Tribolium castaneum: one gene and its partner. The protein of the gene in region 2 interacts with the protein of the main gene of each other region in a pairwise test. Links are inferred from orthologs where the notes say so. Each region holds a gene or a part of one and is shown on either strand. Other genes may lie near its edges.

Region 1 (3,755 bases), on a different chromosome or scaffold from region 2:
CGCGGCGCGAATCGATGTCGTCGAACCGGCGCAATGCCACGGCCATATCGATCACCACAATGCGACACGATTATTTTTATAGCGCACGCCACTGCTCGCCCGGAAAATTACAAACCCCGCAAACACGCCTCCACTGGTTTATTTGAACAGACCGCGCAGTCACGTGACACCAGCGCTGCCTTCGTACAAAAAAAAATAAAAAGCGTGCTCGATTGTTTATGGAAATTGGATGTTACGTCATGCTTTTACTGCAAAAATCGAACTGATAACGCTATCACCTACCTTTGTGGCTTACTAAAGTCATATAAAATGGTAGCGCCCTTCTGGACGATGACTCCCACAGAAGCAAAAACTAAAGAAAAAGGTCCGTTCAAGGGTCGATCAAGGAAAGTGTCCGGCTGGAGTTTGCTGCAAAAACACCGAGTTTGATTTATTTTTAGGCAGAAAAAATAAGCAAAAAGTATGCATGTAACGTGATCTCACCTTTTATTTGTAGCACCTTCCACGGACCATCTATGACCGAATTAACGCTCAAACAATTAGACGACACGTCAGACAAAGTACTAAACTAATTAAAATGCCAGTTTGAAGGCACAATTGGGGGAAAAACCAACAACACAGCTAAATTGCTGCTACTTTACTGAATCGCCATATGCAGATAGTCGCCTGACTTTTCGACGAACTCACAGGTGCGCACCCGCAACCGGACAAAACTTAAATCCCTAAATTGACACGAAAAAATCGGCTAAAACGGGCTTTGCCCTCTAAATTTGTCCACAGTCGTTTCGGCAAAGTGTTTAATTAATTACTGGGGTGTGTTTTGCAAGCCAGAACCCTGATTTGTGTTACTTTAACCCGGCTTAGTGGCACCCGGTAGGTGGCGCCCCTGATTTGGCAATCATCTGTCACTCTTCTAACACTGAGAGAAAAAGGAATGAGAAGAGAGTTATCAAAAGCGCAGCCATTAATGTCAGAAGAAAGTGATTGCAGTGTCAAAAATAGCCCAATTTGAGTGTTTTAACGCTTGGCTGCCAAATAAAGGTGAGTAAGCGTCCCCCCGATCGTTTGGGGGCACAGTTCAAGTGTCGGTGTCCTTCCTTCCGTTGGTCAATTTTTGTGATTTATTTATGTCGCAGGTTACGCTATGGTCTACTGATTGCCATAGCAGGTGAGCAGTGCATTCCCGTGGCATGGATGATAGCAACACGTAAGTATTTTTCAATCGTCACGCTTGGCAAAGTAACGAGGAAGCGCCCCTGTAAAAATCGGGCGTGAGTCACGGCTCGGAGTGTACGCCCCCGCCGTCACACGTGTATTGGTTTCCGATCGAAAGGGGTGCAAATTTCTGATGGGGTTCGTCGGGCTATGGGGCGCAGGCGCGGCGTCGCGACGCAGTACGTTTGATGCACCGACGTCAGTTTTCGCGTTTTTACCGAAAGTGGCACACCCTTTTTCGAGCTATGGGGTGGAAAGGGAAGGCGGCGTGATGTTCTAGGGGGCCTTATTATTGATTGCGGGGGTGATCGTTGACCAAAAATATATTTTTGCATTGTCTCATATTCCGTCTTGTGATAACGCCTTGCACTTTTACAATAATCAAAAATATAAATAAGGTTTTTGTATAGACGCTCAATTTAAACGATCGTGAGGTGATGAACGAGGTGCTCATTGGAATTAAGAGGACGCATTCGAAAAAACATGTCTAAAACGATCAACGCGTATAGGATGTAAGTTGGTTTTGTTTTCAGTTCAAGCTTTTGTGTTCTTGTGGCGGTCTTGCTTGCCTTTCGTTTGTGCTACTTGAAATCCGGCGTTTTTTCTACAAATTTCTAACCTAATTGTGGCATAATTCCGCCGCCACTTCCTTGAAGTTGTCGTTTATTTCCAGTAAGAAAATTGAAAGTTTGGGAAAAATGACGGCGATGTCGCAGGAAGAGATCGTCTCAGCTGTGCGAACGGTGGCTCAGGGGTTGGAGGCGCTCCGCTCAGAGCACGCCGGCATCCTCCATGGCCTCCACGAAGCCCCCGATCCGGTGGCCAATGAACGCGCCGGTCTGGTGCAACAAAGTGCAGAAATGATCGAATTGGGACTGGGAGAAGCGCAAGTATGTTCTATTTTTCTTTCTAATCAGATAAAATCGTCGGTGTGTGAGAGACGAAAGGGGCACCCGATTGCATCGATCGGGGAGCACCGATGACTCATACTAAGGCGAGTGGGGAGGGAAGGAAAAGGAAGGAGAGTGTCGAAGCCAATTGATGACTTTCTAAAATTGGATTTAATTTATTTTGTCGCGGTTCTATTATTTTCGACGGGATTTCAGATGCCAATCGATTATAATTGGAGGATTAAGATAAGAGATTGGGTTGTAATAAACCATGAAATGATTGTTTGTTTGTTTTGAATGAGAGATAAAAAAGAAATGGCGGCCTAATTCCGGGTTTAATTTGTTTTATTTGAAAAAAAAAATAAATAAATAATTAAAAATTGTGAAAGTCGTACTTGGATTACGAGTTGTAGAAACTAACAATTATTTAACTGTAACAAACCATGCAATTTAAAAGTTAAATGGTAAATTTGACCTAGAACTTGAAGTTTTCTTCTATAATTACAGATAAAAATACCTGATTAAAACTGAAAAAAATCTTCTTATAAGTCAGTTTATACCGGTCTTGAGTAAATTACATATGATATTATTTCACAACCTACCCAAAAATTATATTGTCATTAGATTGTGTACCCACGATTTTAATTAAAAAATTTAAAAAATAATTATTGAGACCAAAGTACAATATTCAGTTTTATTGTTGATTGTTCATAAAAATCTCATTTGCTTGTAATAACGTCATCACTGTCATTACATGCATAAGAATAATAAGTTTGGTGATGAGTTTATTCATGAATTTGCTTCAATAATATTCACAATACTTCCAAGTGTCTTAAATATCTTTTGAATGATACTTTTGAAGGTGACGAAACAACAATTATTATTGTTAAATCATTATACTTTTACCATATTTCTTAACAAAAATTGGGTGTTTACAAATTAAAATCTGTATCAATTAGACTTTCTTTCTGCTCATCGAGCTTTAAATCTCGTGGGATGATTATTGATGATGTTTATTGCGGTTTTTATGTCCTCACCCTATCCTTTTGTTTTTCTATTTCCACGTTTTTTATTCAAACGTTGTTTTTCGTTCTTGGTTTCCAGGAAAAACAAGTTTTTATGGCTTTGGTTATAGGGCTGTAAAAAACTTGGTGCCTCAAGTATGTTCGATATTTTTTGTATAACATGATGGCCTGTTTCGGTAAATAATTGTTAAATTAACACTAAAAAGTTCTTCGTTTGGCAGCCTGTAATCAAATTAATTTAAGCCGATCGTAAAATTGAGATAATTTCATCGTCTTATTGTAGCAAGTGTCATAAAAATAATTCGCTTTTGTTTGTTAATTTACTTATTAAACTGAATTTTTTCTTTCTGACATAATTAACTCCTGCTGATGCCTGATTTTAAAAATGAAACCACTGACCACAAAAATACAATAATTATAGTCTCTTGTAACGAAAAAAAGTCGCGTGTTCGAACTGTCCTTGGACAAGTCTCCTCACTGATTTTTTAAATTGTTACTCAAAATCAATGAAAGTAATTAAATTTGTGAATTTAAACACCGTGAAAGGGATTTTGCTTCCAGGGAAACGCATTAATTGGTAGAAATGTCGCATTTTAAGGCAAGTAAATTTCTCCTTCAGGTGATA
Region 2 (3,755 bases):
GTTAATTTTCGTTACATTTTATGTAGAAATTTCAAAATTTCTGTGGAATTTTTTGACACTTTGACCAGAATAGAGTTTTGAAATTGACGAAAATGTAGATAAGCATTTTCAGAGCTTGATTTATATGCGATATTGAAATGAACCTTGACCGAAACCTCGAAAATTCAAGATAAAAATGAGTCCTGATTATTTGGTGCTTCGATAAAAAAATATGCTTATTACCCGAAATTATTAGACTTGTTTCTATTAATTATACTAGCGTGAAGCTTTCAAATTTTAAATATAAATATTAATTTTTTTGAAAGATTTTCATTGTCCTGAAAAATGTGGAACACAATTTGGGCAAATTTTGTTTTTGTTTTTTGTAAATTTTTTGGTAATACACCGAATTCAGTTTTACAAGAAGTTTTTTTTTATATTATTGCTCTAGAAAAAAACAAAAACTCTAAAAAAGCAAAAAACGTATGTCTCGGTTAACATTACAAAACAATGACAAATGACAGCTGTCAGTGTCAGGCCAAAAATTCACACGTTCAATTGAGCTTGCAGAGAAAATTCTTAAACGCCTACATACAATTATGATGATTTTCAATATGATTTTTATCAAAAACTCCTAAATGCAAAAATAAGACAACATTTAAACAGTTGACAGAAAACCAAATCAACTTATCACGCAACCTACGTTCATGCTAGAAAGAGAAAACCACAGCAAACCACGACCAGAAATATTCGTATCCGAAATTGAATATATTAGTTTATGAATACATTAAAAGATTTTGTTCTACAATCGAGTAAATTGAGGAAACAGACAAAATAAACGTTTCATAATACATCCGCTGATAGTGACTTAACTATTTTTTTCGGTTTTTTACACTTTGTTCAACAGGAAAATTTTACGTAATCGCAAATTGAAAGGCGACAAACTAATTCATAAGAAGACAGACGATTCTCTCCTACAAAATTTAAATAGCTTGAAATTAATCTTTTATCAATAAAGTGTCCGAAAACTGTTAACTCACATTTTGTTTTTACTTTTTAACGTAATAATTGTGTTTCTGTAGCAGTTATTTATTTGGCATAAATTATTATGATTTTCTTGTCAAAAAATGAGGTGCGAGCCAAAAGTAGTGAAAAAATTTCATGCTTTTTCCCAGTCACTCTGTATATGCTTACCTGATGAAGCGTATTCACCTGGATGGACCCAACCTCCGGTTATGTCACCATCATCATCGCCATCCACATCCTATCATAAAATAATAAAAAAAACAGATATTACAACACACAACAAGATAATAATAATAAAAAAACATAGTTAATCTTTTGTTATTTCTTGTAAATATTTGCATAAAAGCTTTGATATTTTACCCAAGGTGAGATAAATCAACAAACATTAAAATCTCTCAAACGCCCGATAATTCACGCTCTTTGACCCCATCATGTGCACTGACCCTTAGCAAAAGACAATCAACCAACCTGAAAACTCAACTCTTGATACAACGTGTTCCCACTCCTTTGTTCCTTCTTCAACCTCCCCGTATTATTGTTAGTTGTCGGTTGACCTGGGGGACTCACCGGCGATGTTATCACACTTTTATTTTCCAAATTGAGCGAATCAGTCTCTTGCCCCCTTTCCACCATCTTCTTGTCCAAATTATCCAACTCGCTGTGCAAACTCGGCGACGAATGCGTACTACTAATCGGCGACGACGGAACACTGTCCACCACCTCGGCATTCTCCAAGGAGGTGAACCCGAAGGAGATGGGCCCCGAACTGCGCCCTATATTAATCCGATTCGAGTTCAAACGGCCGGCTTCGGCCCGCTCATTGGCCAGCTGTTGTCCAGAAAGCAGCAACTTCGTCCGCTCCATGTAGTCCATGTGTGTTTTGAACAACTCGGTGTAGCGTTCGTGCAACTTGGCGTATTCCTTCTTCAACTCCCCTTCACGCTCCTCCAAACGTCCCGCATGCTCCATCGAGTTCTTGTGCTTCAGCTCCAGCATCCTGACGATGCTTTCCAGCGCTTCGAGCCGTGCGGCCAACTCCTTGCGCTCCCCTTCGGCGGCGTCTTCAAACTCTAGGAGTTTCTGCTCGGCGGCTTTGCGCGCCCCCTTCTCGCGCTCGTACTGCGTGACCAACTGCTCGTTGTCTTCGCGGAGCAGCTCCAGCTCCACGTCGTGCTCCTAACCAAACTCTCGGTTTAAATTCACTAAAATTGAGTCAAGTACCTGGTTCTGTTGATACGCCGCGTCCAAACACTCCAGCACGTTCACCAGCAGGGGCATGAGGGTCTTGACGACGTCTTCGTCGTAGCGTGCGATCATTCGTTCGAACTCCTGGTAGATGCTACCAGCCAACGATTGCACCTTCTCCGACATCACCACATGGGAGTCCTCGTGCGTCCCGTAGATGGTCTCGGGTCCAAGACCACCGCCGGAGTCAGCCAAATCCATTATTTAACCAACTATTCAACCTACTTTTGCCCAATCAAGAATAGCACATTGTCACTTGAGGGAACATTGTGTTGTGATGATTTTACAACGTGGGGCACATTCTGGGGGCACTGGTGATGGAAAAGTGTGCGATTTTTTGTTACACCCACTGTTTATGATGACAAAAATCGGGCTGGAGGAACAACTGTCATTTTTGCCACTGCTTTGTTGCCAAATCATATTTTGCGCAGTAACTAGGGTTTGGTGACAAAATGAAAATCCCCACAACAAATTCAATCATATTTATTAAAAATAATTGCACTTATTTACACAAATCACAAATAAAATGCATCAGTTCGCGACGGCTGTGGCTCGCTTCAAGTGTTTCTTCAATCCTTTGCTTCCTTTTTCCGCCTTGGATGAGCAATCTTTATCTCGCTTGAAATGGCCTTTGATTTTTTTCAACAAAGTGGTTTTCTTCTCTTTTTTCTGTTCCGAACACGATTCTAAATTGTCGGCACTTGTACTGGGATTGAGCGGTGGTTCGCTTATAGCCTCTGTGCTTTTCAAATCACCTACACTACTGCTAAATTTTACGCCGTGATTTAACGGTCTGAGACCGATAGGGTCCCTCTGATGTAAAGCGGACCTCAACACTTGACCATTGTCGGATTGGGACCTGCAATTACACTCGCATTGAATTAATTGAACTCTAATCGAAGTGGTCTATGACTGAAATTAAGTTGCCAACACTGAACTTAAGTCGTTTGAGTATTTCCCCGAACATTCTGTTCAATAATTATGTAGTAAATGGTAAATTGAATCCAGAAATCGCCGAAATGATTAGAAAATGGGTTTATTTTTTACTTTTTCGAACATTCAACACAAAAATATGCAAAAAATTGCAGGAAATCAACCCAAAAATCAAATATTTAGTGTGTTAGTGAAAAAACAGCCTTACCTTAAAAACAGACGATAGCAAATGTTACCAACTTAATTTCAGTCAAAGTCTACTTGATCAAAAATTTTATTCAAAGTAACAAAAATCAAGTAGGCAATACCTGTTAACTTTGAATTTTTCCGCACTGACCACTCTGATCGAATCACGTAACTTATCCCACACATTGAAAGCAGCCATTCGTTGAAAATCCAAAGTGAAGAGACACTTCATATGTGGCGGATTCGTTGTTAGATTTTTATAAATGCAAGGAATAATTTTCCTTTGACTTTCTGTGTAAAAACAACAATTAAACATAAAAAATGCATGTTTTTAACTGTTGTTACCAATTCCATAAGCGTGTGCAAAACTTAAATAATACTCATTG

Evidence for each region.
Region 1: the proteins of syd (region 2) and Klc interact in binary tests that used the Caenorhabditis elegans proteins (3 or more experiments, as listed by UniProt). The link is inferred for Tribolium castaneum from reciprocal best matches to the Caenorhabditis elegans genes unc-16 and klc-2.

What each region holds. Positions count from the first base shown.
Region 1 is NC_087402.1:3,660,500-3,664,254, forward strand, and holds the start of Klc (kinesin light chain), read left to right. Parts: upstream 1-1,164; 5' UTR 1,165-1,190; coding exon of another isoform or gene 1,191-1,207; intron 1,208-1,625; 5' UTR 1,626-1,698; coding exon 1,699-1,727; intron 1,728-1,888; coding exon 1,889-2,105; intron 2,106-3,749; coding exon 3,750-3,755. UniProt on the Caenorhabditis elegans protein: Kinesin is a microtubule-associated force-producing protein that may play a role in organelle transport. The light chain may function in coupling of cargo to the heavy chain or in the modulation of its ATPase activity.
Region 2 is NC_087394.1:36,807,910-36,811,664, reverse strand, and holds the start of syd (JNK-interacting protein 3), read right to left. Parts: upstream 2,649-3,755; 5' UTR 2,452-2,648; coding exon 2,227-2,451; intron 2,182-2,226; coding exon 1,474-2,181; intron 1,244-1,473; coding exon 1,174-1,243; intron 1-1,173. Other genes in the region: myeloid differentiation primary response protein MyD88, read right to left, coding at 2,782-3,109, 3,492-3,660, 3,715-3,755. UniProt on the Caenorhabditis elegans protein: The JNK-interacting protein (JIP) group of scaffold proteins selectively mediates JNK signaling by aggregating specific components of the MAPK cascade to form a functional JNK signaling module.